Schizosaccharomyces pombe: one gene and its partners. Changing the gene in region 1 together with any one later gene gives a genetic interaction. Each region holds a gene or a part of one and is shown on either strand. Other genes may lie near its edges.

Region 1 (10,040 bases):
ATTACGCTACCATTGATGAGTCTGATATTGGAACAATTCTTCATATCCTAGAACATAAAAACAGAGAACAAGTACTCTACTTAAATGTCAAGTACATTTCGAATCTAAATCCGAGTACTATTATGTCAGGATGGACTACATTAGCTACAGCGCTACAAGCGGACAAAGCAATTGTCAATGATTATATTAAAAACAATAATCTAAATATCTGAGAACATATGACTTATCCTCAGATTTACATAGAAAATCTTAGGGAGGGCAATGTCAGCAATACTACACTACGCTATAATACACTACGTTGCGTATCACTATATGTCACATGTTCTAATTATATATCGTACCATGTATGATACGATATGGAGATTGATCTTAATGATAATCTATTAAGATCTATATTATCTGAATACTATAAATAGAGCTACTGCTGAACCTCGTTCCTCAGTTCAGTTATGAGCTATATTAGTGATAGGTAACATTATAACCCAGTTAATACAATACCTATACTCAGTTGCTACTTATACAACCTGTGTATTGTAATATAATAGATCACAAGGAAAACTCACCGCAGTTCTACGTATCCTTAAATCAGATACCAAACTGCGTAGCTTACAATATTAATGCTGATATTCGTGTATATTGCAGACTTTAAACTCATTAGCTTATGGATTTACAAAACCTGCATACATTTTGTTTAAATTATCAAAGCAGAATATCTCTGGAAATTAACTTTAAGACAACCTTTTAAACAATACAAGGTATTTGAAGAACTAATTTGGCATTGAACAACCAATCTTCATATCTGCTAGGGGAATTTAGTGAATTTAAGATAAAAAAAGCCTACAGCACCCCGGATTCCCATGTTGTCTCCAACCATAGTACTAACGAAGCCCTCAGACGCTTAACTGCAGTGATCGGACGGGAACTGGTGTTTTCGCCTAGGTATGGCCGTAGACAGTATGTTTGTAAAGTAAAATTATTTGAATATATATGCTTTTTTTGCCTATGGATGACTATACCCAAAGCAAATAAGAGGTCTAAGCATTGGTACACTAATTTTTTTTAGAAGTATATATGCCTCTAACTTCTAGCAGATTTCCAATTCTTGATTTCTAATGTCAGCATGCAGAATATATATTTTTTATATTGATAGTGTTTCGGTTTAATTAACACGGTTTAACAGGTTTATTAACATGCGATGTAATAATACATTAACTTTTACTACTAATACAATAAGTTTTAATCAATAGGTTATGTCTTCTGATAATGCATACTTTGTACTAAAGGAAAACAACGAATCCGCGTTCCACCAGATTTATTTCAGCATTCTTTTAATGAAATAGTAAATCTCATATGCACAAACTATTAGAACGAACGAAAACTAATTTTGCAGTGAATGTGTTACAACAACTGTTCCATTTAATAATGTTAGGCTACTCTACTTCTAAACACCTTGGATAAAGTAGAACTTAAACTTTTAATGAGTTTTCCCATTTTTTGGCACCAATTACATACTCAAAGGTAAAGCTGGTGTTTTTTATTGTAATATTCATGCATTAGCCATACTTAACGCAGTAGACTTATAAAACCTATTGAGCAAATCTGTTTACCTACTACCTACTTCAAATGTATCGTCTTTAATGAATTTTTTAGTTAAGTTGCTCTTAAAAAATATTTTTGTTAAAAACTTTTACCAATGAAGAGTTTGAAAGGGCGTCTGTTATTTTTAAGAAAATTCGTCTTTTTTTCGTTGTTGATTCTTCTATTTGCTCATGGGGCTTCTTCTTCCTCTTCTTCGTTTAATTATTTTGATAAAAGAACCAATGGTAAAGCAAACAATGAATTAGCTCTTTTTTCACCTACTGCTGATTCACCTTCCTCTGTGGATGGCGTATTAGAATTGCCATCGGCAGAGAATGTCTTCGCAGAATCTAGTCTTTATAATGCCTTCATAGTTGCTACTGTTGATGGATCATTGCATTCTTATGATCGAATTACCGGCCAAGAACTTTGGTCGCTCTTCACAAACGCTAATCCAGGTCTCTCATACACAAAAGATGAAAATTCGCTTCTGTCAAGTAAATTTTTAAGTCAATCAAATTTTAAATCTTATAATAGTACTCATGGGGAATTTTACAGTGATTCTACTTTAAACATCAGTTACTTATCTGACGACGATACAGTTTGGTTTGTAGAACCTATCGATGGCGGAATATTGTACGCTTTTAATTTACAAACTGGCTTAGTCAGACTTCCTCATTCAATAAAGGACCTCGTTCATGCATCACCAATCCGTCTGCTAAACAACAATGTATTTGTTGGTAGCAAAAACACTACGTTATTCACTATTGATGTTTCAAACGGGGATATTGTCTCTCAATACCCTTCAGGCCATAGATATGAAACACATCACTCTGTGCATAATTTAGGTACAAAAAGAGATTCTGTACCTTCTGGCGCAGACTCTGATTTATCATTTAAGGACCCTTCTGGTAAAAAATTGTCTGAAAGTTTGGACTTGCTTGATGATTTCAATTACCAGGTTACTGTTTCAAATAAATCGTTTGTTGATATTGCTAGAACGGAATATTTCATAACAATATATTCTGATTCCAATGTCATACTTGATTTGGTTTACATCGATTGGACACCAACTAAAAACGAAATAATGTATGAATCTTTTCATTCATCATCTTTTGATTCGAAACTTGCGCTTTCATCATATGACAGTTCGTTGCACATTGTTGATACCCATTCCAAGTTCATAAAACAGAACATCCCTTTGATGTCTCCTGCTGCCACAGTGTTTGATATCGTAACTTTACCTCACAACAAGAAGATAGACAAATCTCAAACACCTGCGAAATTTCCGACTTCTGTTCTGCTTCGACAACCGATTGACACATACCTAGAAACGATGTTTCCTCAAATTGCAAGAAACAAAACTGAACACGTATACATAAATCATATAGGTAATGCATGGTTTGCGATGTCGGAACGTCATTATCCTTTGGTATCACTTGCTCCGGAAGCTTCCTTCCTTTATTACAATGGATTTTATATTCCACTGAATAGTATTTTTGGACTTCATTCCCTAATGGCAACCCCTAAGCCTTTTTTTGCTTTGCCAGGACTTCCTGGTTATGATATTCCTTCTTACGTGGAATCTGAAGGCTCAACAAAAACATTACCTTCAATTGGAAAAAAACCTATTCCTTTACTAGATCCAAATCCTATTTCCTCTACGCCTATTTCTATCACATTTTGGGTTATAATGTTCCTAAGTGTGTCTTTTACAATTGTTACCTTCTTTTCCATTCTTAGGATTCGCTCTTCTGAAGTCAGACCGTTAAAATCTCAGAAAAATACGGTTTCTATCAATAATAAAATTGATACTTCAAAACGCCGGCGTAAAGGCAAACGAAGAAAGAGAGTTAGCGATGAGCATTCGGCTTCTTCTAACTTCAACGAGATAGAAAGCCAGGCGTCTTTTGAACAAAATCAAACATTGGATATCTTGAGTGAAAATATTGTTGAAATTCAAGACAAATCAACTGATCCTTTACAAAAAAGTCTCGATAGCAGCCTAAAAAGTCATCTTCCTGAGGCAACTGTAATCCAAAACACTGATGGTTCAGTGACTGTAAACTCATTGACTGTTTATCCTGAAGTAATTGGTTATGGTAGTCATGGTACAATTGTTTATCGTGGTGTTTATGAAGATAGGGAGGTAGCTGTCAAGAGAGTTTTAATGGAGTTTTATGACTTAGCATCAAGAGAAATAACACTTTTACAGCAGAGTGATAATCATCCTAATATCGTTCGTTATTATTGCAAACAAAAAAGTGACCAATTCCTTTACATTGTCATCGAATTATGTAAATGCAACCTATCTGATTTAATCGAAAAACCAATTGCTTATGATGACCTATTCAAATCGATTGATCTAGTTTCATTGCTATATCAAATAGCTTTTGGGGTTTCTCATTTACATAGTTTGGATTTAGTTCATCGTGATTTAAAGCCACAAAATATTTTACTTGTTGTTAATAATTCGCCAAATCTTTCCAAAACTCGAGTCAGGGCTCTTATTTCCGATTTTGGATTGAGCAAGAAGTTAGATTTTAATCAAAGCAGTCTTCGTAATACCACTTTTGAGGCAGCCGGTTCTTATGGTTGGAGATCTCCGGAAATTTTAAGTGGTTCCCTGTCTCAACAATCGAAAGAAATACAAGTGAAAACTCGTGAAGGTAGAATCCGACAAGCTTCCCACGCTACTGATATTTTTGCCCTCGGTTGTATTTTTTATTATACGTTAACTGGTGGGATGCACCCGTTTGGTTCCCATTATGATTGTGAGGGCAACATTCTTAAAGGAAATTATTGTTTGGTACATTTGCAATCATTAGGAGAGTGTGGTGTGTTGGCCGCTGATTTGATTGAGGATATGATTGCATTTGAGCCAAGCAAGCGTCCTACAATCGAAGTGGTTTTGAATCATCCGTTATTTTGGGACTATGCCAAAAAGCTTGATTTTTTAATTGATGTTTCTGATCGATTCGAAGTTGAAGAAAGAGATCCACCTTCTCCGTTACTTCAAATGCTTGAAAACAATTCGAAATCTGTGATTGGAGAAAACTGGACAACTTGTTTACACTCGTCCCTAGTTGATAACCTTGGTAAATATCGGAAGTACGATGGTTCCAAAATTCTCGACATTCTTCGGGTATTAAGAAATAAGGTATTAATTTAATGGATGATTATTTTACTTTTACTAACTTCCTTTTTTAGAGACACCATTATCAAGACTTACCGGAGTCTGTGCGTCGTGTACTCGGCGATTTACCAGACGGATTCACAAGTTATTTTGTTGAAAAATTTCCAATGCTTTTATTGCATTGTTATCATTTGGTTAAAGATGTCCTGTACGAGGAAAGTCAATTTAAACGTTATCTAGAGTATTGACGTTTACATACTAAATTCTTAAAGTCATTTTATATGTAATTTAATCCTTATTTATTATGAAATACATTCATTTATAATTCACCTTCTTCTCTTTTTGGTATAAACAAGATATCGTTCATCTAATACTCGTATTAAGTCCAGATTCATATTCATAAATATCAATGCTAGTCTCGTTTATGTTTAATAAATAAGTTTGTCATGCAAATCAATGCAATTAAGATTATAACAAAAACAAATCCGACAATTGGTAAAACGCTTTTGGGTAAAAACCCAAGCAGCAATGGTTCTACAACTAAATAAGGTTAATATAATTTTTTCTTAAACTCTATAAAACATACCTAGCCGTAAAGGAACTAATGGTGGTCTTTTCATCAGACTTTCATTATGAGAATAAAACGAGGCATTGATTTCCACAATAATATGAGTTATATTGTAATTCAAAATTATGTCTGAAGGATACTAGTAAATTTATTGTTAAGACCTTGAATAAATTGTCATTAATGCTTACCACAGCTGGCCAAGAAGCCCTTATTTGGTATTTCTGAAGCGGTTTTAAGCCACACACAGAAAATGTGTATTTTGATTGTTGTGGAGCACCAGCCGCTTGTGGGATCGTTGGATTTGGCTTCAACAATAGAGGAATTGAAGAGTTGTTAGACAACTCAATATCACAAACAGAGTTCGAGGTCAACAGTTTATTAGAATCTCCAGTTTCTACGTTAATAATCTCCGTATTTGCTATTGCAAATGAGGGCAAGAAGAAAAGAAGTACGAATATAAGCCTGAACTCTCGCATTCGGAAAAACACAGGTCAAAGCAATTCCAAGTATTTGGTTCTTAGTCAGAGATGAAACCTTATGGATTTATTAATTATTATCTCTGTTTAATATAAAGGATGGAATGGTTATTCCAATAATTCATTACCGATTGGATGTCAAGGAAGAACTAGTTGGTTAATGTGCTATTCCACCACATTCGTAAATGGAAGTAATACATTACAGCACAAGCATTCTATATATCTAAAGCTGTTATTTAATTTCAAAAAGAGGAAGGATCGTGAACTGTCAGATCTTACTGATCATTACACTCAGTTTTCAACCATTGCATAACGAACCGTCTACCTGTTCATACAATTGCTCAAAACATGGCAGTTTTACTGAGAGATAAGCACATAAGTTACTTACACGATATTGGAAATGTAAGCGAAAAGAAAATAGTTTAATAATTCAATTTTCTTACAAACAGCGAACTGATGAGCTGGATTTCTGGTTGAAGGAGCATTTACACGTCAGCGCAATATATTGGAGTTGCATGAGCTTCTGGCTATTGAAGAAGAAAGATCAAATTGACAAAGAACGTATTGTATCGTTTCTGTTGTCTTGTTTGACAGAAAGCGGTTAGTTATATTACTGATACTGAAATATTGATACGGGCTGCTAACAATGAGTTAGGCGGATTTGCTTGTTATCCAGGACACGATGATCACATTACGAATACAGTATACGCTGTACAAGTTTTAGCAATGTTGGACTCTTTGCATGTCGTTGACAAAGATAAAGTTGCTTCTTGTAAGTTTCTTTGTATTTGTACATGCGATCCTTAACTAATTTATAAATAATTAGACATTATTGGCCTACAGAACGAAGATGGTTCTATGAAAGGAGACCGCTGGGGAGAGATAGACGCTAGATTTCTATATTCTGGAATAAATTGTCTGGCAATACTAGGTAAATTGGACTATCTTAATAAAAATACTGCCGTGGATTGGTTAATGAAATGCTATAATTTTGATGGTGGGTTTGGACTCTGTCCTGGAGCTGAGTCACATGGAGCGATGGGTATGTTTAATTTCAAAACCCAATTATTGACCTAATAGTTTTTACCTGTGTTGCCGCTCTCAAAATTCTCAACAAGTTAGATTTAATTGATGAAGAATTATTGGGTTGGTGGATTAGTGAACGGCAAGTTAAAGGAGGTGGATTAAATGGTCGCCCTGAAAAGTTACCTGATGTACGAAGATTGCTCTTTGTCTAGCATGTTTACTAATAGTTCTAGTCCTGTTACGGTTGGTGGGATCTCTCACCGTTAGCAATTATTGGAAAATTAGATTGGATAGACCGTAATCAGCTTATTGATTTTCTTCTAGGTACACAAGATGCAGACAGCGGAGGGTTTGCAGACCGAAAAGAGGATGCCACAGACGTTTATCACACATGTTTTTCTCTTGCAGGATTATCACTATTACAGTTTCCAAACATAGAACCCGTTGACCCTCGTTTTTGTCTGCCTTTAGAAGTCACTCAAAAAATGAAATTATAAATGATGCATTATTACTACCACATAACCATAAATTAAAAAAATAAAAACATAAAATATGTACTTTCAGAAAATTGGCTTGCGTTCTTCTCGTTCCTTTTCAACGATACGACGCAAACGCTTTTCTGTTTTAGCTTTACCTGAACCTTTTCCATGAAATTGATGAGACAACAAATATTTGTATGCTTCTTTGGGACCAAGTTCCACACCAAACTCGTCAACATACTTTATGTCCACCTGAGGTTTATAATCATGAAATTGTTCAAGCTCTATCTCCGCAATTTTTTTATCCCATCTTTCATTTTCTTTTTTTGCATACTGTTCACGTTCCTTCTGAGTCATTTTTTCAAATTTCCCGCTGAGACGATCTTGTTCTTTTTTCTTTCTACGTTGCTCCTCCAGTTCAACTCTGGCTTGCTGTTTTCTGGCAAACCATTTATTGTACTCTTCTTCTTTTTGTATTTTCTCTTTCGCTTCATCCGACACTTTAATTACGCCTTTATTCCGGAGAAGGCTTAGAACTGCACCAACATTGTCAGAGACAAGTGGCTCATCTTCTGCATTCTCCTGCTGCGTATTGGCTTCTTCGAGAGTTGCAGAAATATCAACCGAGGTGTCTTCCACTAAAGCATTACTTTCTTCAGTTGGAGAACTTCCAGTAATACTATTGGTATCGTTCAAATCTTTGGAATCTTCAAATGCTTGTTCATTTATGGAACCAAGAGCTTCTCGATTTTCAGTTTCCTTTATGCTATTAACAAAAGCACGCGTATCATCAAATATTAAACCGGAAGCCGTGTCCGAGTCCGTCATATCTGTGACTTCTTCGGCATTCTGCAATTGCTCAGCTACATCTTCTGGCTTAAGTATTTTCGCTCTTTTTTGAGCTAGCCTCCTCTGCATTGCAATTGACTGTTGCAAATCATCATCATCAGCAAACGACTGTGTTTCTAATTCGCGCATACGCTTTTGAATCTTCATTTTCTTTTGTTCTTTGAAAATAGCCGAATCTTGCTCAACTGACAGATCACTGTTACTCTGACCATTCGGTAGCACGAAATCAGATGGGTCATTTTCATTTTCATTTTCTGCATCAAGTTCTACTAGACGCTTTCTCCGATCAGACTTTGACTTTTTCTTTTTTGACTTCTTAATCTTTATTTGTCGATAATCTGATTGTTCGCTGCCAGTGATAGTTGGTTCAACGAAAGAGACAAGAGTCCCAAAAGTTTTTTTATTATCAGATTTATGTTTTTCTATAGTAGAATTAACAGTGAGACTATTTTGTGGACCAATGGTCGTAAAAGTATCTTCAGACGGTTGATCTGCTTCCGACTGTTGAAGAAAATCATTCTCATCTTCATACGGTTTGTAGGGGTTATCTTCCTTCCTTTCGTTTTTAGTCTTCCGCTGGACCATTTCAACATTTTCTAATAGATCATGATTATCTTCGTCTAATATATCAGCATCTTTCAATGTAAGGACTAGACCATCGTTCTTGTTTAAATCTTGAAAACCGTGTGCTATTTTCATTCCTTCTAATGAGCTATTCACATTGGGACCAGCATTTTGCGAATGTAGAGTGGATCTTCTGGGGGCGTCATTCTTCGCTTCAAAATTCAATCCATTGCCATTTTTATTCAATGAGGAATTACGCATTTTGAGTATCCACGCTCGAGTATCGTTAGCATCGATTTGATCATCCTCTTCTGCCAATGTTTCAGCGAGTGTTTTTCCTTGCGTTCTGCGTCTTCGTTCATTCTTTTGCCGTAATTTTTCAAATTTGCTTTTCAGTTCTTCTTCTTTCTTCCTATTTATTTCCTCCTGCTCTTGTTTCTTCCAATTTTCATAGGCCTGTTGTTCTTGATCGACATACGAAGACTTGACTGAAGCATCTGAAAGTTCTTTCTGAGGTTTTTCTTCTGAAATATCTAAGGGTTTGAGGCCTAGCGAAATTCTAATTCTATTGGTCTCCTCAATAGAAATCGATTCAGAGGCGCCTGAATTCCCAGACATTATACTAAATCCAACAGCAAGTGACAGACTTTCAAATGCTGATAAATAAATAATAATATGGATTTTTAATAAAAAAATACACTAAACTTGCAACTGACTCAAGGATATGAATAAAATAGGAGAATGGCGAAATACACGAACCGTAATATTGTTTCAAATAATTTACTTAAACTCTCATTTATATCTCACTAAGCTATTTTAGCGTACTTTCAAAAAAAGTTGCGTTTCCTAGTATGCGTCCGCGCTTGCTAAGGAATAATAAACAAAATACGTTAAAAAGAGAAGAGCAATTGAGGCGATACGTATATGAAGTATACATTTTCCAACAAGCAAGGATTCGTTATGATACCTATTATACGGCCTGGTCTAGTTGTAAAAAGATTACAAAGTCCCAAAATATTTTTAACTTTATGGAAAACTTGTTATAATGTAAAAACTTATTCCACTGAGTCTATAAAACAGAAGAAACCTCAAGATTTAAATTGGCCCACATTCCTGAAATTAAGAAAAAGCAGAAGGATTTTTGAAACCTTAACTTCTATTCCTACTGCACTTACCGGACTAGGATTAGGATCCGCCTATTTTCTTACGCGTACTGTTGACCCTACCATGACTATTATGGGTCTTGATCTATTTACTCTATATGTTATTGGAACTATTGCATCCGGAGGGCTTGGATGGCTTTTGGGCCCTAGTATAGGTAGAAAAATATGGACACTGCTTCATAAAAGTCAAGCGAGACAAAT
Region 2 (12,216 bases), on another chromosome or scaffold:
ACTTACAAATTTAAAACATACTTCATAATCCAAACTATTCTATTTTTTTGTGATTTGAAAACGAAATCACAAATTTTCCTTATACGAATTTACAATCCTTGTAGAACACTATGTAAAGTTAACGTAGTTTACAAGAATAGTGTTTTTTTTTGGTAAAAATTATCACTGTTGCGATAAATTAAAAAAACGATGCGCAACATTACTTTAAAAATTTGATGCGATTCATGTAATACACTACACCACAAGTCGATACACTCCTTTCTCCATCTGCCCTTGGGGTTCCCTTAGTGTAGACAGTTGGCACTTCTACTTTGTATAGTATCGCTGGCTTAATTTAGGTATTATAAAAGATAAAACTTGCTTCACTCGTTAATACTAGAAGTTCGGCCTTTATTACCATTTTTTACAGCCCAAAACATTCTTGGTACCTCAGCCTCTGACCGAACGAGAAAGTTGTATTTAAGTTTATTTACCTTTTTCCTCTAAAACTGCAAAATCCACGTCTCTGATTGCTCATTTTTTTTTAATATCATGTCTAGTGGATTTCCTCCTGAAGTATTGTCTCCTCTTTTAAATTTAGTTCAAGGCCTTTCGTCGCCTGACAATACTGTCCGAAATGATGCTGAAAAGTCTCTTAGCTCAGACTGGATAAGTCAAAGAGCTGACTTATTATTAAACGGCCTTGCGATTTTAGCTTATCAAAGTGAGGACCCAGCTGTGCGCTCCTTTTGTTTAGTTCTTTGCCGTCGTATTTCCTTTCGCACCTTACCAGGAGACAGTGAGTTGGAAGTGTTCTCTAGCATTTCAAATGAGTCCAAACAGTCTTTGCAAAGTCAACTTCTAGCTTGCTTTGTTAAGGAGTCAGTTCCCACTGTTCGTAATAAGCTTTGTGACACAATCGCCGAGATTGCTCGATCTATCTATGATTGTCAAGGCGAATGGCCAGAACTCATTAACGTTATCTTCAATGCTGTTAACTCTCCTGATGAGTCTTTTCGTGAATCAGTTTTCCGTACCATCACTTCTTTACCTCGTTTATTGTCAGGTCAAGATAGTGCTGTTACTCCTCTCTTTACCACCGGTTTAGCTGATCCTAGTATCCGTGTAAGAATATCTGCCGCTCGTGCCTATTCTGCCGTTATTCTTGAGAGCAAACAATCCACTCGAGATCAGGTTATTCCTCTTTTACCTAGCCTCATGAACATCCTTCCCCCTCTGCAACAAGATCGTGATTCTGATAATTTGGCGGACTGTCTTATGGCCATCACTGAAATCGCCGAAGTTTTCCCAAAGTTATTCAAACCTATTTTTGAGAGCGTCATCGCATTTGGTCTTGGTATCATTAAGGACAAGGAGCTGGATAATTCCGCTCGCCAAGCTGCTCTTGAATTGCTTGTTTGTTTTTCGGAGGGTGCCCCTGCTATGTGTAGGAAATCTTCCGACTACACTGATCAACTTGTACTTCAATGTCTCTTGCTAATGACCGATGTCGCTGGCGATCCTGAGGATGAGGCAGAAGAACTTCAAGAATGGTTGAACACGGACGATTTGGATCAGGATGAAAGTGATGCTAACCATGTTGTCGCGGAACAAGCCATGGATAGACTTTCTAGAAAGTTGGGCGGAAAAACAATTCTTCCTCCCTCTTTCACGTGGCTTCCTAGATTGATCCCGTCTCAAAAATGGTCTGAACGTCATGCTGCCCTTATGGCCATCTCATCAATTGCCGAAGGTGCTGAAAAATTAATGAAAAAAGAGCTTAGTCGTGTATTAGATATGGTACTTCCTTTGTTAGCTGACCCTCACCCCCGTGTTCGATGGGCTGCATGCAATGCTGTAGGCCAAATGTCTACAGATTTTGCTCCTGACATGCAAGTCAAGTATCCTTCTCGCATCCTCGAGGCATTGGTACCTGTTTTGGAGTCTCCAGAATCCCGTGTTCAAGCTCATGCTGCTGCTGCAATGGTTAATTTCTCTGAAGAGGCCGACAACAAGGTTCTCGAACCTTACTTGGATGATATCCTTCAACGCCTTCTTACCTTGTTACAAAGCCCTAAGCGATATGTGCAGGAACAAGCCGTTACCACTATAGCTACAGTTGCTGACGCTGCAGCTAAAAAATTTGAAAAATATTTTGATGCCATCATGCCGTTATTGTTTAATGTTCTGCAACAAGCTGACGGCAAGGAGTTTAGAACCCTTCGCGGTAAAACTATGGAATGTGCTACTTTAATTGCCTTAGCTGTTGGTAAACAACGATTCCTTCCTGTATCTCAGGAATTAATCCAAATTTTAGGTAACATTCAAATGGGTATTACTGACAGTGATGATCCTCAAGCTAGTTATCTCATCTCTGCCTGGGGAAGAATTTGCCGTGTTTTAGGAAGCGATTTTGTCCCATTTTTGAGTTCAGTTATGCCTCCTCTGTTGGTTGCTGCTACCTCGAAACCTGACTTCACAATTATAGACGACGAGGTTGATGAAAGCAAATATTCTGAACAAGATGGTTGGGAGTTCATTCCCGTTCATGGTCAACAGGTTGGTATTAGGACTAGTACGTTAGAAGACAAGTGTACTGCCACCGAAATGCTTGTCTGCTATGCTGCTGAGTTAAAAGCTGACTTTGATCCTTACGTCAATGAAGTTTTGACATCTGTTGTACTTCCAGGATTGAAGTTCTTCTTTCACGACGGGGTTCGTTCTGCTTGTTGTAAGTGTATTCCTCAGTTATTGAACGCTCGGATTTTAGCTAGCAATCGTGATCCAGCTAAAGTCAATGAGCTTTGGGAGCCTATTTTACGAAAGCTGTTGGATCATATACAAAATGAACCAAGCGTGGAAATGCTTGCCGACTATTTTGAATGTTTCTATCAAAGTTTGGAAATCAGCGGCTTGAATCTGAGTCCTTCTTCGATGGAAGCACTCGTTGCTGCCGTTGATTTGCAGCTCAAAGGATTCATTTCTCGCGTGCAGCAGCGTGAGGAGGAGGCTAAAAATGGTGACATAGATATTGAAGAAGATGAGGACATGATTCTTGCAGTCGAAAATGATCAAAACTTGTTAAACGAAATAAACAAGACTTTTAGTGTTGTATTAAAAATTCACAAAACTGCTTTCTGCCCTTTTTGGGAAAGGCTACTACCGTACATGGATGGCTTTTTGTCTGGAAACGACACTGTAGCTAAGCAATGGGCTCTATGCATGATGGATGACTTAATTGAATTTACTGGACCCGATTCTTGGAACTACAAGGATCACTTTTTGCCTTACTTAGCTGAAGGTATTCAAAGTAGCGAACCAGAAATTCGACAAGCTGCCTCGTACGGTATTGGAGTAGCCGCTCAGCATGGAGGAGAGTTGTATGCTGAAATCTGCTCTAGTGCTTTGCCCGCATTGTTTAAGATGCTCGAGCTTCCTGATGCCCGTGATGAAGAACAAATTTATGCCACAGAAAATATTTGTGTTGCGATATGCAAAATTTGCCGCTTTTGTAGCCAACGTGTTCAGGATCTTGACAAAGTTGTAACGTATTGGATTAATACACTTCCTGTAACACATGATGAAGATGACGCTCCTTATGCTTACACTTTCCTTGCGGAATTGATGGAACAAAATCACGTGGCCGTTGCCTCACAAATGCCAACGATTATTACGATTTTAGCAGAAACATTTGCATCTGGAGTTTTACGTGGAAGAACTTTGACACGTTTGATGGAAGCTTCGAAGGTTTACTTAGCTCGTTTCCCTGCTGATCAAGTTAATTCTGTCATTGCCACTTTGAGTGTCGATAATCAGAGAGCTTTGTCTGCACATTTTTAAATTTCATTTCTTTCACTCTAAGTCTTTCAATATTTTCTTTGGTTCCTCAAAATGCTTTAGTTAGTTTAGGTTAGGTTAGGTTTTTATTTAATCCATCAACAATCTTCGGATTTTGTTTCACTCTTTTTAGACTATGCCGGCTAGGTTTTCACTTATTGCTTTATACATTACTTGATTTTTCATCGTATTAAATTATTTCTTCGTGTAGCAGCTCTTTCGTGTATAATACGTTTTGATGTGTGGTATGATTATAATATATTGCTCGCATCTTTTGCAATTAATTTTTTTTTTAAATGTATATACTGTAGTCAAATTGATTTTGCTTTAGTTATAACCTGTGAGATCTGGTATTTTATTGAAAGTAGCATAGTTAAGCACTATCCAACTTCCCATCAACATGAGCTACAACTCCAATCCTTATAACGGTGGGCAATATCCACCATATAATACATATACTAGACCTAATTATTCACCAAATAATGGTTCTCAAAGTAATAACACTGTACATCAATATCAGCCTCCACGTATGCCACCCCCTTCCACAAGGCCTCAGACAGACGGCAATTCTAATCAAATCCCTATGGAGAATGTTGGTCATATAAGTTTGAGCTCTGCAAACTCCCATGCTTATGCCCCACCCTCAGGTCCGCCTCCGAATACTGGTGCTAATTCTTATGGCAACCCAAATTATAGTGGGCCTCAGCTGCCAAACACTCAGACTCAATCTTATAACTTAGCAGGAGGAGGAAACTTTCAGTATCAGTATTCAACTTGCCAAGGGAAGCGAAAGGCTTTGCTGATCGGAATTAACTATCTCAATACCCAAAATGAGTTGCAAGGTTGCATTAATGGTACGGAATGCGAAAGGTCAAGTAAACATATATTAACTTGTTTAAGATGTCATGTCTATGTCCCAACTGCTGATACAGCGCTACGGTTACAAGCAAGAAGATATGGGTATGGTTGATTACGAGAACATCTTGCTAAAACTTTTTTAGTTATTATGACAGACACGGCAAGCAACCAAAGGGCAATTCCCACTCGTCAAAATATGTTAGATGCGATGAGATGGTTAGTAAGTGATGCCCAACCTAATGTAAGTTATATGTCATGGGATTTACTTCCTAATGCTAACTATTTAGGATGCATTATTTTTTCACTATAGTGTAAGAATCATCACTTTACATCTCATACTCACATGCATAGGGCCACGGAGGGCAAACAAAAGACCTTGATGGAGACGAAGTTGATGGTTATGATGAAACGATATATCCACTGGACCATCAATATGCCGGGCAAATTATAGATGATGAAATGCACGAAATAATGGTTAAGCCTTTACCAGCAGGATGTCGTTTAACAGCTCTCTTTGACTGTAAGTCAGTGATTTTAATCTATTTTTAACAAAATATAGCTTGTCATTCAGGTGGAGCTCTCGATCTTCCTTTCACGTACTCTACCAAGGGCGTTCTAAAGGAGCCAAATATGTTAAAAGAATCTGGTATGGATGTACTTCATGCTGGCCTTTCTTATGCCTCTGGCGACATTATGGGAGCTATCAACAACGTGAAAAATATATTTACCAGTGCTACCAATGGATTTAATAACAACGCTCTACAGTACTCTAGACAAGTTAAGTTTTCTCCTGCTGATGTTATTTCTTTATCCGGATGCAAAGATAATCAAACAAGCGCAGATACAAGTGTTAATGGATTCGCTACTGGTGCTTTATCATACGCCTTCCGTGAAGTCGTCACTCAAAATCCCCAACTTAGCTACTTGCAGTTGCTGAGAGGTATTCGACAAGTACTTTCCAACAAATACTCACAACTGCCCCAATTAAGTTGTAGTCATCCTTTAGACATGAATCTTGCCATGGTTTTATAGTACACTAAACATTACTTGATCATTGAAGTTCTATATTTTTGTAGTTCCATCAGATATTTAAGGAATTTTCAATTAAGGATAAAATTTAAATCACAACAACTCAGGAAATCATATCTAATACTTTATTGAAATATTTTTGTTTGCAATTTATAATTTTGCTTAAAAAACGAGCTCAAATTAAAATTATACACGCGAGAAAACTCATGGCTCTTCCAGTCCGTTCTGTTGGGGATGAAACCATTCAGATTTGATAGCCTGTTTAACTTCTGTAGCATTCTTTATGGAATCTTCAAGCGAATGTCCGCGAGCACAGATATAAAACTTAAGTTTCGGCTCTGTACCACTTGTGCGAATAGTCATAATTACCTCTCCATTTTCAAGCTCAAACGTTACGTTATCTGAACTTTTTGAAACTGGTAAAGTAGCTTTACCATCCGTGGAGCTTGAGTCGTAACCTGTAGTAAGGTCGCGAACATTTGTAATTTTCTTACTACCAAGGGTTGCCGGATAACCCGATTTTGTGTCATAATGTCTCAAGGCATCAACCAAAGCACGAAGCTTGGGAGTGTCGCGTGAAAGGAAATATGAGTTTTGCGTAGTGTAATAACCATATTTTTTAGACATTTGCTCAAAAACCTCGGTAATTGAAAGATTCTGAAGTTGAAGGCGTTTCAAAAGATGAAGGAACGTAATCAAAGCATTAACCCCGTCTTTGTCTCTAACTATACTACCTACCATATAACCAAGAGCTTCTTCATATGCCAATCCAATAAATTTCCCTTGTTTTTCCAATTCTAATGCTTTATTGCCTAACCACTTAAATCCAGTAAGTGTTTCAACATGATGGAATCCTTCTACTTTGGCCATGGACTTTACCATAGCACTAGAGACAGTAGTTGACAAAACGTAAAAATCATCAATTGGCTTTCCAACGTTTTTGTATTCTTGAAATATAAAATAGGCAAGGATACAACCAACTTCATCTCCGGTAAATCTTCTCCAAGCACCATTAATTTTTTCTGCAAAGGCGAAACGATCTGCGTCAGGATCAGTTGCAAGGACATACGAAATACCATTAGCATCAGCTTGCTCGTAAGCCAAATCCAATGCCCCCTCCTCTTCTGGATTTGGAAATTTCACAGTCGGAAAGTCAGGGTTTGGAGAATCTTGAAGAGGTACAGAAATCATATCGCCTTGTTCGCCAAATAAGTGTAATGCTGAAGTAACAAATGGTAATCCAACGCCATGAATAGGAGTGTAAACAAATTTCAAAGATTTCATTTCCAAGGAAAAGTTGTTTTCGGAATGGAATTCGTGGAGCTGAGACCAATAGTTTTTTAAAAGACCAACTGCAAAATCCCGATCTGCTAGTTTATGATTTTCAACCAAATTTTTGTCCCAAGTAATGGGCGTTAAGTTTTTTTCTATACATGCAGCAATTCCCTTGTCATGGGGAGGAATGATAGCACAACCGTTTCCCCAATAGACCTTGTATCCGTTATAAGCTGCGGGATTATGGGAAGCAGTAATCATAACACCAGCTGCAGTCCCTAGGGTTTTAACGGCAAAAGGGACTAAAGGGGTATGGACAAGATGATCGAAGAAATACGTTTTGAATCCTTTTTGCAAGAACACTGCAGCAGTAAGTCGAGCAAAAGTATTAGACTTATGCCTATGATCGTGTCCAATTACCACACCCAGCTTTGCAGCTGATGGTACGGTTTGAAGCAAATACTCAGCGAAGCCTTGTGAGGCTTGAATCACGGTCAAACAGTTCATGCGAGCGAAGCCAGCACCAATTTCAGCTCTCAAACCTTTGTAAACATTAGTAAATGAATAAACGAACTTGATAATGTTAAAACATTAAGATGTATAGAGAGAACAATCGCAAGCTGAAAATCTAATTACACTTAAACCAATTTCGTACAAGCACGTTATATAACATTCCAAGCAAAAAAGACCAAAACAGATAGAAAAGAAGAAGAAGAACGAAAAACTCTTTCTGAAATATGACCAATATGATCATCACAATAAATTAGTATACGCAGTAAGGAAAGTGACCGATGATCAAGTATATCACTTCGACTCTAATCAAGGAAAACACAATAAAGTAGTTTAAGCTACCGGCTGTAGCACTGAGAATTCTTTATTAAGAAAGAGGCATTATTTAGCGTTCTCTTTCAATCCACTTCAACTTGCGAAATATCTCTTAACAATCTCAATTTTTTCTTCTTTTGTAATAAAAACATACCAGATGTACCAAATCCAATCCTTGGATGCATAATTTGCTTGAGGGTGGCATAATCTTCAGCCTTAATCAATTGTGAAACTTCATTCCTCGTAGTTTCATCCTAATGCGTTCAATCTGTTAGTTCCACAGTACTTCCATAGTAAATATAGTCCTAATACTTACTTGATCTAATTTGAACCACTCATCTACTAATTCTTGCAAAATCGGATCCATCTTGCCAAATGGGAATTGTTACCATTTGTTTGCTACACACACAATACACGTATCTCATCACCTCGTTTAACGCGTCCTTACGCCGTGGTATTTCGTATCCGTTTTCTTACAAAAATGATTTTAATAAAATAGACTCAAAAACAAAAAGTAGTAATAATATTATACTCATGACCTCCAATTATTCTAGAGAATTTCTTAAAACATTAGCTGCAAAAAGAAGCCTAGTAATTTGAAAGCAGCAGTTAATTACGATATATACCGCTTACAAAAAGGAGAAATTGGAAGAATTCAAGACCTGACGTCAATTCGCAAGCTGAATCGTTTTAATTAATAGGCGTCGGACAATGGGATTCACTTAGGCTTGGCGACGTTCTTGTCTAAAAATTGCTTGTCGGAATGTGTCATTGAACCGAAAAGGTTTGAAGCTCTTGACTAATAAACAACAGTAACTGATGTTAACTTTTTATAGAATATCCCAGGTTTCAATTCAACACGTTTATTCATAAATCTCAATCTATGTTATGCAGATGAGATTGAAAATCAATACCATCAAGTACAACTTCTCTAAACTGAACGGGTTAAGTATGGAATGGTTTAAAGTTTTAAGTACTGGATCACTCCAAGCTTTGAGATACGATAAGAAAATTAGTGTTAGTACATTTGTGGCTTTAATCACACCTTTTCCATAACCAGGAACTAAGTTTTCAAAGATCTACTATTCGATGATGAAAAAATAGCATTCATAAAGTTGATAACAGCATACATAAATGAAACTGAAATATTGAGGAGGTAAGGCAAACATGATGACCATAGTTTCAATTGACTATGTAATACGTACTATGGCTCATTAAAACCTATCAAAGAAAGAGAAATACGAATAAGAGGAAATTCAAGCCTGTTTAGAATGAGAAGAGAATAAAGATTGGGTTTTGGCGAAGGATACGCTGTTGCATTAAAACAGCCTTAAATAGGTTCTATAAATGGTTAGCATGTAAAAAAAATTAAAATTGAATCATGAAAAAATATTAAAAAATAATAAAAAAACCTACCACTTAAGAGCTTGTTCAAATTGTTGAGACGAGAACCAACACTGACATCAAGAATATTATCACCAATTTCAACAATTAGTCCACCGATGATAGAAGGAGTAACTTTATTGCTAACCAGTAATTTACCCTTGCCATATTTCGATTTAGCTATCCGAGATTCGAGACGAGAAAGGATCTTCGAATCTAGAGGAGTAGCTGAAGTAATTTTAACTTCAATTTCTCCTCTTTTAGCGCGCATCAAAGTAGAGAATTGTTTCTGAATACGAGTTAAGAGATAAAGACGATGATTGTCTAACAAAACATTGTAGAAATTCTTCAAAAGGGGTTCATTTCCAGTCATCTGCGTCAAAGAACTAACCAATATTTTCTTATCCTCACGAGTCAACCAAGGACTAGAAATGTATTGTTCAAATTCCGGTCTCTGTTGAAGAACACCAGACAGTTTATTTAAGGCCTTCTCAACATTGTCCAACTTGGATTCTTTTACTGCAGCGGTATACAGAGAAGAAGCATAAGAACCTAAATAAGAGAAAAGAGTTAATTACCAAGACAAAAAATTCAGACTTTTGGATGACAATGAAGATATCAGTCAAAATGGTAGCAATTAAAAATCACCTTTTACAGTACATACCATCTAAACCATACAACTGGACAGGGGGATGAGCAGAAGCAGTTGCAGTTGCTAAAGAGCGAATTCCTAAGGAAGGTAATCGAGCAGTGATGGGAATGGAGCGACGAAAAATATGATTCATTGTAATGTTTCACACTCTCAACGTTTAAGGAAGTTGGTTAATGGCTCCGATCATACCTCCGTTTTGGTGTCATCCTTTAAGAACAAGCTACAACGTGCTTCCTTGCAATACTTTCTTATTCAGGTTGTTACCTACAAGTTGCCTATTTGTTAAATTGAATACAGGTTGATTATTAAAATGAGATTAATTTGAAATGTTGTATAAGTGGTTTTTCTTTTTTTTTCATTAGATAAGAATCAAATGCCAAATTTTAGAAATACACGCAATTGATCATTAGCAGTATTGCCAAACAATATACACTAAAAGCCTATGTGGTAGGTTGCCTAGTTGCCTATTAAAGACTTACATATTCTTACTATTCTAATGTATATCACCTATGTTTCTGGAGATGAGAGGAATTGTTGTGTGTGCAAAACCTACGATGGCAAATGATTCAATTAAGGGTTTTCATGTGATATTGTTCTTAGCAAAGCTGCTTCTTAAGATTGATTAAATTAATACATAAAGTAGTAAATCTAAGAGCAACTGAAAAGATTTCATATAGTAATTAAAAAGAAGGTAGCCGTAGGCAAGATTGTGCAAAGATTAGTAACGATTTCCCTTAGGAAATGCTGGAATTCAAAAAGAAGAGATAAAATGTTTAAAAAACCTTGAGATAGAGAAAGCCTTATTTCTTCAGAAGCCGAGAGCCAGCAAGTGAAAAGACATATAAATATATACCATTCAGGGCCATAATCCAAAAAAAAAAAAAAGAAAGTAAGCAAAAAGAGTTAAAACAGTTCAACGCAAATGTTTTCGACACCATTGTAAAATTGAAGCGTTTAAATAATATGGAAACCATATTTAGAAAGATATAAAAAAAATGAAAAGTTCCAATTGGAAACAGCTTCAATGTTGAGATTCGAAAAGATTAATTTACAGCTTCACTATTTTTCCACGATAAACTGCTTCCACTATACTGTCCGTATCATTTTGAGAAATCCTAAGAACAGCTCTTTCACCAGCATAGGCACTGCAAAGTCCAGTGTCGATTAGCAGTATACGACCTTCACATCGACTTACAATACCATGGAATTGAGGAGTATGTCCCATAACTAAACGGTTTACATTTAAGGTTTTGGTTACATTGAGAGCGACCTCGCAAGCTTCTTCTTCTGAAAGCTGAGCCAAACCACGATACCACATTGGACCTTCAATCGCCCAAAAATCTTCCAAGTATTCAGGTATTTTTTCTCTAGACATGAAGTGGCTCAATAATTCCTTTCCTAATTCATTTACGGTCTCCTCTCGGTATGCCCACTCTGGTGATAGACCTGCATGCATAAAATGTGATCCAGTGGTATTATCTTTATAAGTGACATTGTATTCAGAGAGCAAAAGGTTACCAATTTCACCGGAATGCCCCCAGTCAATTATCCTGTTCTCTTCTGAAGGCTCGGGATAAGATGCTTTATCCCCAGGATGAACATAACGCCAATCACCTTTAGCGTTCATGAATTCATGGTTACCCAAAAGGCGAACCACTCGTCCTCCATGCTTTTCTGCCTGCTTGTGCAAGTCATTAAACCATCTAAAAAGTTTCCGTGTATCTGGGCCGCGATCGACGACATCTCCGGTTTGAACCAGTGTAGCATTACCAGCAGTCCATTCATGAGGAAAAACAGGAGATACAACGCCTGCTGCAGATAGTACATCTAAAGCATTTGGAAAGTCTCCATGAATATCCCCAATAGCATATACTACGGTCGGATATTTAATTTTTGCTTCAACGTTTCCTTTGAAATTGGGAAAAACTTTAATGAATTCATGATCAAATAATTGATTTACATTAAAATAACCGAATACGAATTTACAAGAAAAAGAGAGTAATATCCCCAAAAGGGTAAGTTTCAGAAGTTTTCCAAGAGAACTCATGAATGCTAAGGATGAGTTACTTTACCTTACTTTTACATGTAAAAGGTTAATCTAAAAATCCAAGATCTGTCAAGATTAATATATTTTCGACATTTATAGCAAGAAATCTCTTAATATGTTTAAATATATATCTCATTTTAGTATATATACAGAAAAGTAGTAGTTTCTAACTATTTAGTGCCATAGGGAAAGGCTGACAAATTTTTTTAACAGGCAAATTAGAAGCAATAGTTTCTAATTAACATGTTTGAGCTTGAAAAATAAAGAGTCACAGACAACGCAAAGGACATTTGAAAGAATTCTAAGCAACATGAGCACATGAAAATTTAAA
Region 3 (8,943 bases), on another chromosome or scaffold:
GGAAGAGGCTATTAATTGCTTGGCATAGTTTAATGGAGGCTTTTTAATAGGCTTTGAGAAGAATGCTAAGTCATCTTCATCTAGGTTGTCCATTTGGCGAGTTTTAGCAATTACGGTGGTTCCACAAAGCTTCTTATGGATTTAACGAGAATTTGTAGCGACACACCTTAAACTAGGTAATTTTTAGCTTAGTTTTGTTTTCACTCAAGTTTATTACAAATCGATTTTGAAAGTTATATAATAATTTTATAATTCAATTGAAAAAGTTCAATGAACATTCCTCCAACTCATCTTCGAAATGAAGTTTGTTTACTTACGCAAAACCCGATCTTGTCCACTTAGCAAACAGATTTAAGTCTATAGAATTTCATTTTTTAGGTTAAGTAATTTGAAAACTCTTTGCTTCTTGTACTGAGACATTAGGTTTGATGAATTTCAATGACATTGGCTCACCTTACGACGGCTACATTGCGTCCGTCCATTACTGCCATTCATAATTTGTTCTTCATTCGCTAAATAAATTTTATTTAGTTCAGATAAAACCAAATTGTTGTACTATTAGAGATACAATGAATAGGTTTAATCAGCCGATATTCCTATATTCAGTAGTAGACTATTCAGGTACAAGATATAATACTAAACAATAATATGTAAACAAAATCGAATATTATCAAGTTAGTCCCCGTTACTTTATATTGATCATTAGAAAAACTTTACACTATACTGTATTGGTAAGTGAGAGATAATTTTAAAAAATTGAAGAGTATCTTTTTAAGATTATATAATGAATTAAGCTATATGATCGCAATCAATAAGATTATGAAGTACGTTACACTATGCTAGATTTATGAAAGTGTTTACTACCAACACAAGCTTAGGTTTTGCAAGCACAAGAAGGGCAGTCACAGCTTAAGCAAACGGTAAGGATCACCACACTAAGAGTTCCGCCTTTACCAAGTCAAAATGCCTGCTCAGGGACACAGATTGTACGTTAAAGCTAAACATCTCTCTTTTCAAAGAAGCAAACATGTTATCCACCCAGGAACTTCTTTGGTAAAGATTGAGGGATGTGATTCTAAGGAAGAAGCCCAATTTTACCTAGGCAAGCGTATTTGCTTCGTCTACAAAAGCAACAAGCCCGTTCGTGGATCCAAGATTCGTGTCATTTGGGGGTAAGTTTATTTTTGTAATTAAATTCTTGCGTTTCTTTGGAGAATATGAAGAAACGTTAATGCTATATTTTCACGGTCGTTTTTTGTTGGCTAAACGAATACATTCAAAACCTTTACTAATTACGTTTTAGAACTGTTAGTCGTCCTCATGGAAATTCTGGTGTTGTTCGTGCTCGTTTCACCCATAATCTTCCTCCCAAGACCTTTGGTGCCTCTCTCCGTGTCATGCTTTATCCCTCCAATGTTTAAATAAAATATTTTTATGTTCACAACAATTCTTCTGCTTCTTAGATTTATTTTATTTAGGGAATCCCATTTTATCGAAAGCCTCGTTTGTTATACAAAGTAATCAATGCTTTTGGTATTATTTACTCACTAGGAATTTGTAATTGGTACATTAAAACACAATTATTAATTTAAGTTTAATCAATATTGATGTTAAATAACAAAAGCTGTAAATTTGTATAGGTAACTTTTGAGAATCGTTTCACGAAGTATCATTTCAGTCGTCTGTTCTTAGGGTGTTGATGGGCAACACTGCATCAATTACTTAGGTATTGTAAATTCACTAGTTTGGCGTCTAACCTTTAGTACTGAATACTACCTTGTTTATGCAGGTAGTTCGATCGAATACTGTCGAGCATGTTTATAATCGGCTGTCGATCATACAAATCAAAAGCAAATCAATTATTAACCCCAACTATAATTATTTAAAAATAGTATAAAATAATAGCAAAATTATTATCAACGAAACAAAATCATCAAGCATTCTTTGTGAGAAAAAAAGGAGCGCAAGAAATAGTCCTAAATTGTAAAGATAAAACACATAGACGCTATTCAATTTAAACTCTTCCAACCTTGAGCCAAAAACGACTGTTTATAAGGTCTAAAAGCTTTTGAATTGTCAAGATCATCACTTAATACATAGCCCATACTTCGGGCTTGGATACTTCGACTATGTTCGTCTGCCTTTTTCAACATTTGGATCCATCTATTTTTCCGATCGACAAACGAAGAGGGTGAGGCTTCAAAGGAGGATTCTGAGCTAAGACTTGACGAAGGAGAATGATTTGTGAATATAGGAGAAGAATCAATATTTAATGGTAAACTTCCTGAGTGAATTTCCATAGCATCCACTTTGCTAGTAAAATCTTCATTTTCCTCGTCGCTCGGAATCGTGGTTGACATTTCAAGTGAATCGCCCGATTTGTTATTATTTATGTTGTTTGTGTCAAAATCGAATTCAAGTTCTTCATCAGATCTGAAAGTTAAAGTAGATAGATTTTCTATATCGTTTAACGAATCCGAAGACGCTTCATAGTCTGGGTTGTCAAGTTTGAACTGTTTGGAATACTGCATTGGCTGGTTAAAATACTTGCCGGGCTTGTCCGAAAAGGCAACTTGATATTCATCAGTAAAAGCAACATGCTTTTTTGGCTTCGATTTTCGACGTTGAGTAGACCGACTTTCGTCGATCATGGCATGGTCAGCATCAATGGCATCACTCGACTCCTTTGGTGATGCGATATTGCTATCATATATGGTTTTCACTTCCTTCTCTAGTGATTTCTCAATTGTCGAAGCATCTTCTAACAATTTAGTTTCGTAGGCTTCATAGTTGAGTTGCTGATTACGCATAAACGCAAGTAGTGATAAACGATTTGTTGATCTCTTTGACAACAAAAGTTCTTCGACTGTACGCTTAATTTCCTTGTTTACTAGTGAAGAAAATGAAGCCCGTATTTCATCTTCCCGAGGTTCAGCTCGCGCTTTAATTATGTCCATTCGAATGCCCAATTCTGAAATAGGAAAAGATGCTCTTACAGAAGAAAGAGAAATAGCTGAATCGTATATGTAAACTTTCACGTTTTCTTCTTGAAATAATTTCTGCGGTTCCTCGGATATTTCAATATTTCCCTGCACAGCAAGAATACATAAGTTGCAGCCTCGACAAGCAACAGCTGAACAATTTTCAGCTTTGCATATTTGCAATAAACTATAAATTTTCTATTGAATTAGTTATATTTGATTTCATTAAGGTTAGCGTACAATTTTTATGAGATCACGAGGAACAAATATCCATTGATGTTTGGTTTCATTAGGAATTCCTAAAACACGTATATTGAGACATTCACAACTTATTCCATCGCCAAATGGCGATTGCAATTGCATTAAATCTACTATGAAGATTTCGTCAACGCTCGAATCGCGTTGCTCAGTGAGATCGGCGTTGGCAAGAATTAGGTACGCCGTTGTCGATGTAATATAATTGATACAGTATTGTGCTATACTACATGCTTAATAACGCCGAAAAATCTAATTCTTGATAATTTATTTATAAATTTTATTAAATTCATATTATAATTTTTTCTTCATGAGAGAAGTCAAAGCCTTCACATACATAGGAACCTTTTCTAACTGACAGGTATTCATAGGCTTTGTGTGCTGTTTAATAAGTTCAATTTCAGTAGAAAATTTTCTCTTTAATTTTTCATTCTGTGTCATTACAACTAAGGTGGATTCAAGGTCCAACTGTTGAGACCTACTCGTATAATTGGAAGACCCAATCGTCGTTAAAAAAGGATGCTTGTGATGTTGTGTACTCAACCAAAATCCTAAAATAGTGTTAGTGAATTTTTCAAAGATATATGACTTAAGTGCCGTGCTCCAAAAAATATTTATAATGGAAAACGACAGACTGTAGTGTTTACCTTTAGCATGATATGTATTCCCCTTATTTTGCCATTGTAAGACATCAATATTTCTTTTCTTCTTTCTTGAATCTTTAAGAAATTGTTCAGCAATATACTGATACGCTGGTGGAATTAATTTCGATGGTCCAGGAGATCGATAAAATCCATTAGCCTGTTGAGAAGCCACGATTACTTCCCCTATACCTTCAGATTTCAACAACTGTTTTCTAAGTGCTGGATAAACATTAAAATAGCCAGCCGTTAAGGTCCAATTAACCTCCTTGCGCGATAGCAAGGTCCCGATTATAGACAAGACCTTTTCTTCAGTAGAATGTACGTCAGAAGTAAGGATAGGTACACATTGAAAAAGTGGGTATACGATAGCAGATTCTTCATATTTATGAAATGGCTTATTGTTGTCATCACCTGCTTGATTAATTAATTCAGAGCCATATACTGATGATAACGGTTTAGAAGGGTTGCGAGACAAGAATTTCTCTCGATTCCCCTGAAGAAGTTGTTGAATTTTAGCAGAAGCTGCTACCCGAAACTCTTGAGGATTTGTTAAAGGATTTGGACATGAATTGTTCCATTTCAAAGTAAAAGGAATAACCGGGGACGTAGAAGATAGTTGAATTGAGGAATCGGATAAATGAGGGATACACTCAAAAGAAAGCTGTGAAAACAAAAAATGCGTTTTAAAGAAAAAGTCCGCTAAACCCTTATCACTAAACAAATAATACCGGTCTTTTCGATTTGTAAAGTAATCTCTCGAAAGATTGGCTCTATTCGTTAGTATAGTAAATAATCATTTGCCTTTACCCGCTGATAATGAGGTTATCATCTGCACCATATATTTTCATATGCTGCAATCCCCATCCCTCATTAAATCTGTGTGGAACCAATTGCTTTCTTAGTCCACGCAAATTCGGTGTATGGTAAAGCTTGATTTCGCATCTATCAGGAAACTTCTTTTTCAATTGCATTAATAGAGATGCAGAGCAACAACCAGGGCTTTCCCTAGTACACCGCAATTGATCTGCCAGAATGTGAACATGCAAAGAGGGATTGTTGCTTAGCGCATTTGATAGACAATTGATCAATTCTCGCTCTTCTTTTCCAATGTATAGCGTTGATAGAAATATTCTTTTTTGAGCTTTTTTGATTAATTTTTTCAAGCGTTGATAAAACTCAGGAGGTTCATGAATGATATCAATATCATCAACGTTAACATAGAATTTGGGACACACACCGTCAATCTGAGATTCCAAGTTGACAAATATGTTTTTCTCTATTCCTTCATCCATTAGGCTGTTTAAATTGGTGTGCTAGGTTAGTGTGAGATACATTGAGCTTGCAAACCCGTTCATGCAGTAGAAAGGTCAATATCCAACGGTAATTTGAACGTGAAATATAGAGAAAAATGGTATAAAAGCAGAACTTCCATGTTATATTAAAAATAAAAAGTATCAAATTGACTCTAACTTACTTAACAAAAAATAATATACCGATCACGAAATATACACATTTAAAGTAATTTATAGCAAAATTTTTTCTATTTAATTAAAAGAGTAATGAAAATTAAATGATTAATTAGTTCAAAATTTATTTAAGTCCATAAAGATAAATTTCGTTTGTCCTGAATGAGCATATCCAAACCCGCTTCTTATCTTGTTCTGCAAGGGTGACAAGTTTCTTTTGCAGTCTCTGCATATATTCCCTTTGAGAAGCTGGGCAACTTTCTATTAAACGTTTCCAAGACTCCTCATCAAGCGTAGTGGTACTACGAAGTTTTTCCATAGCTTCTGAGTCGCAATCCACTGCTAAAGCAATAGCATCTTCTGAGCTTTCACGAATGGCTGACTGCACTAGATCATAAACTTTATTCATAGCATTTTGTTTGTGTTTCCATTTATACTTTCTATCATTAACGTCTTTAAGCGAGATCAACTGTACGTCGAGGTTGGATTGAGAGGTGTCAACGAACTTTGCAACATCTTGTTGAGCTGAGTCTAATATACGTTTCGACTGTAACATGCTTTCGTTTCTTTTTCTTTCATTAATTTCTCCCAGCAACCACATCCCAACTTCATCAAAGCGTATTTCGTCATCTTCATTTTTTAAAATATTTCGAGCCTTGACTGAATGTTCCATCTGGGTATTTTTCTGACGCACGACGAGAACCCAATTAATGCCTTCACTTCGATAGTGTGTTACAATCTCTTCTAAACTGCTAGCACCCCTTAAAACTATATCCGCTTGGATATTTAAAGCCCAAAGCTCTTGCAAAAGTGAGCATTTTTCTAGGATTGAATCCTTGCCAATACTAGTAACTAAGACATCAACTCTCCTTGGTGCCCAAGGGCCTACAGACTTTAAAGTTGGTGAAGGAGAATGCTTGCTTGACTGCTTACTATTGTGAAATCGAATATATCGCAGCATTGAAAATACTAGTTTTTCAAGGGCAAAACATATTCCAACAACATGCTTTTTTCTGGCAGTTCTCATTAGAGGAGGATCGAAAAAGCGTACAAGCTTGTCATAACGACCACCAGCACAAATGAGTTCAGATTTTTCCGCCAAGTTAATTGCTTGAAACATCAAACCTCCATCGTAAAACTCAAAGTTATAAACACATAAAGGCATGAAGTATAACTGATGAGAAATTTTTAGTGCTCGAAGTAATTTAACCACTCGCTCCATATAATTTAAAGCAGTTCTCATTTTCTGTGGCATTTCCTTCCCAAAAATTTTTCTAAGTTTGCTAGCACCTTCTTCATAATTTTCCCGAAAATCAAACAAACTCAGATCGTCTAAGGTGGTAGAGGGAACTAATGACTCAATACGAAGCTGGTTCCGTACCTGTGATAATGTTAAGCGTTGGTTGATTTGTCCAAGTATATGAGTAGCCATGCGTCTTTTATCCTTTGATACTTGTAAATAATCAAGAATGGAGGAAAGAATGTCAGCGTGATTAATTAAGATACAACTTTCTGTCAAGGATGGTATCTCTGTTAATACTTCGTCTAATGCTTTGATTGTTTCTGCATCATACCAATCCAAATTATCAGAATTCGTGGTAATGTCAAATGAAATTTCCTTTATAGCCTTTGGTCTCCCTCCACCTTTGGCTTCCCGAAAAACGTCAGAAATTAAGTACGTCTTTTCTTCTTCCACAGCGTTTCTAGCAACATTTCTCGCGTAAGGAAGAACCGTATCATATGGAAGCTGTAAAAGGGTACCATTTTTATCTAGTAGGGAAACAGAAGCTTGGTCTTTATCGTATTGAGAAGACTTTGGGAATAGAATATGTGACTCACGTTCCTTGGCTCCATGGCGACGAAATACTTTAACTACATGATCACGTACTAAACAAGCTAACAAACTATCCCATCCTCTATCCGACACTTTCGACAACACTCCACTTTCTTCACTAAGGTTGAAGTCGTAAGTAAAGTCTTTATGACGATCGGGCACTTGGCCGAATAAAACTTTCAGAAGCTTTAAATAATAAGGAGTATTAGGGTTGGACAAAAGACGAAGGCCTTCTTGAATAAACTCTTCACCAACTTTTGGAGGTATGGCTTCACTTTCAAGGAGTTCTTGGCTCGATGGTCTTTTTGTGGGATCGTGTTGTAGAAGACAATGAATGACTTTGAACTCATGGCTAGCACGGGAAAAAGGAAAAGTGGAAGGGAACGATATAGATGGAGATCTAATAGTATCAATTATCCGAATTCTTTCCATAGAAGTAGAAAAAGTCATGCACATTTCGAAGAGTATAATACCCAAGCTATACATATCAACCTTTGCATCGTAGCGTACCCCATTACGCCTACTGAGAAGTTCAGGAGCTACGTACAAAGCTGTACCGACACCTGTTGTGAGATCTTCATCTGCTGATTGGCGATTTTTCCATTTGTCATTGTTATCTTGGTAATTTTCATTTTCTGTAGCCAAGCCAAAATCACCAAGCTTTACATTTCTATTTTCGTCTAAAAAAATATTTCCAGGCTTAAGATCTCTGTGCATCATTCCCCGACTGTGAATATATGCCAAAGCTTCTAAAATTTGTCTAAACAACCGCCACATTTCATCCACAGGAATTTTATCTCGTATGATATCTTGCAATGACAACTTTTCACAATATTCCATTTGTATGTAGAGCGTAGCATTCAAACCATTTTCTTGTGTTTTAACTGAAGAAGCTTCTTCAATGCTGCTGTCTTTATCGGAAGAACCTTCTTTATCTGAAGTATTAGAATACTGAAAGGAGATGTCAGAAGCTTCAGGGTCTTCCTCGTCTGCAGATGAATTATAATCATCTTCAAAGTGAATATCGAGGCTAGAAAGCTTATCGGCTGGAAGACTTGAAGATTGCCGAAAGTCCACTGCCATATTTAAAGATTGACTCAACGACTCACTATCGGAGCTAATTATCTCAGTTACAGTATCATTAGCTTCAGTTTCAACCCAAGCAGTATAATAACGCACTACATGTTCATGATGTAAACGAGACAAAGTCATAACTTCACGTAAAATTCTGCTATTCTCTTTATCATCGCTCAAAAGGACAAGCTTTTTAACCGCATAAAACCTTCCATCAATTCGATTTTTGACTTTAACTACTTCACCAAAACCGCCACGTCCTAAAAATTCAAGTTCTTCAAAATCTGTTTCATAACGTGAAACGCTTTTCCTGTACAACAAATCAATAATTCCATCCTGTTGACCACCATAAGAAGGGCGTGCAGATTTTGAAAAGGTACCCTGCTCAACTGGAGGAAGAACTGCTGTACCCAAACGAATGACATGACTACTTAACAAGTCAATGGCGCTAGGGCGTTTCCTTGAATCGCGCATTAAACAGCGACGAACCAAATCTTGATAAGACCCCGGAAGAAGAGGAATTACATGAGTCATAATCAGTTTTAGTGAAGAGAATTTATTCAAAACGTGAGCTCCACAAAGCATCTGCAATACTAATAGTCCAAAACACCAGATGTCAGTTTTTCTCGATGCAGCTGCAAATGATGACTCAGAAACCTCTGGGGGATACAGCCCTTCCGGTAGAATAT

What was found.
Region 2: mutations in ire1 (region 1) and pca1 together harm fitness less than expected from each alone (positive genetic interaction), as found in Schizosaccharomyces pombe (one large-scale study listed by BioGRID).
Region 3: mutations in ire1 (region 1) and toc1 together harm fitness more than expected from each alone (negative genetic interaction), as found in Schizosaccharomyces pombe (one large-scale study listed by BioGRID).

Annotation. Positions count from the first base shown.
Region 1 is NC_003424.3:1,554,388-1,564,427, reverse strand, and holds ire1 (serine/threonine protein kinase Ppk4), read left to right. Parts: upstream 1-1,609; 5' UTR 1,610-1,693; coding exon 1,694-4,738; intron 4,739-4,788; coding exon 4,789-4,962; 3' UTR 4,963-5,045; downstream 5,046-10,040. Other genes in the region: Tf2-2 (retrotransposable element/transposon Tf2-type), read left to right, coding at 1-212; GPI-mannosyltransferase II complex subunit Pga1, read right to left, coding at 5,127-5,254, 5,301-5,421, 5,471-5,758; geranylgeranyltransferase type 2 beta subunit Ptb1, read left to right, coding at 6,107-6,160, 6,208-6,358, 6,414-6,530, 6,585-6,800, 6,839-6,972, 7,018-7,281; U4/U5/U6 small nuclear ribonucleoprotein complex subunit Snu66, read right to left, coding at 7,345-9,294; putative TIM23 translocase complex-associated motor subunit Pam17, read left to right, coding at 9,637-10,040. UniProt on the Schizosaccharomyces pombe protein: Endoplasmic reticulum (ER) membrane-resident kinase/endoribonuclease involved in unfolded protein response (UPR). Initiates the selective decay of a subset of ER-localized-mRNAs that is required to survive ER stress.
Region 2 is NC_003421.2:2,259,751-2,271,966, forward strand, and holds pca1 (metacaspase Pca1), read left to right. Parts: upstream 1-4,216; coding exon 4,217-4,670; exon of another isoform or gene 4,671-4,716; coding exon 4,717-4,776; exon of another isoform or gene 4,777-4,817; coding exon 4,818-4,915; exon of another isoform or gene 4,916-4,942; intron 4,943-4,961; coding exon 4,962-4,985; intron 4,986-5,025; coding exon 5,026-5,194; intron 5,195-5,233; coding exon 5,234-5,706; 3' UTR 5,707-5,907; coding exon of another isoform or gene 5,908-7,520; 3' UTR 7,521-7,555; downstream 7,556-12,216. Other genes in the region: karyopherin/importin beta family nuclear import signal receptor Sal3, read left to right, coding at 532-3,819; pgm2 (phosphoglucomutase), read right to left, coding at 5,908-7,520, 7,958-8,057, 8,120-8,170; F0-ATPase delta subunit atp5, read right to left, coding at 9,134-9,144, 9,220-9,738, 9,851-9,971; SPOM_SPCC1840.07C (phosphoprotein phosphatase), read right to left, coding at 10,887-11,885. UniProt on the Schizosaccharomyces pombe protein: Involved in cell death (apoptosis).
Region 3 is NC_003423.3:2,397,982-2,406,924, reverse strand, and holds toc1 (Tor complex Tor2-interacting protein 1), read right to left. Parts: upstream 3,408-8,943; 5' UTR 3,345-3,407; coding exon 3,222-3,344; exon of another isoform or gene 3,180-3,221; coding exon 2,010-3,179; 3' UTR 1,593-2,009; downstream 1-1,592. Other genes in the region: DNA repair protein, SUMO-related Rad60, read right to left, coding at 1-93; rpl35A02 (60S ribosomal protein eL33), read left to right, coding at 964-1,172, 1,304-1,421; pgs1 (CDP-diacylglycerol--glycerol-3-phosphate 3-phosphatidyltransferase), read right to left, coding at 3,531-3,787, 3,884-4,650, 4,688-5,172; eIF2 alpha kinase Gcn2, read right to left, coding at 5,471-8,943. UniProt on the Schizosaccharomyces pombe protein: Component of TORC1, which regulates multiple cellular processes to control cell growth in response to environmental signals. Tor2 is essential for growth. Nutrient limitation and environmental stress signals cause inactivation of TORC1.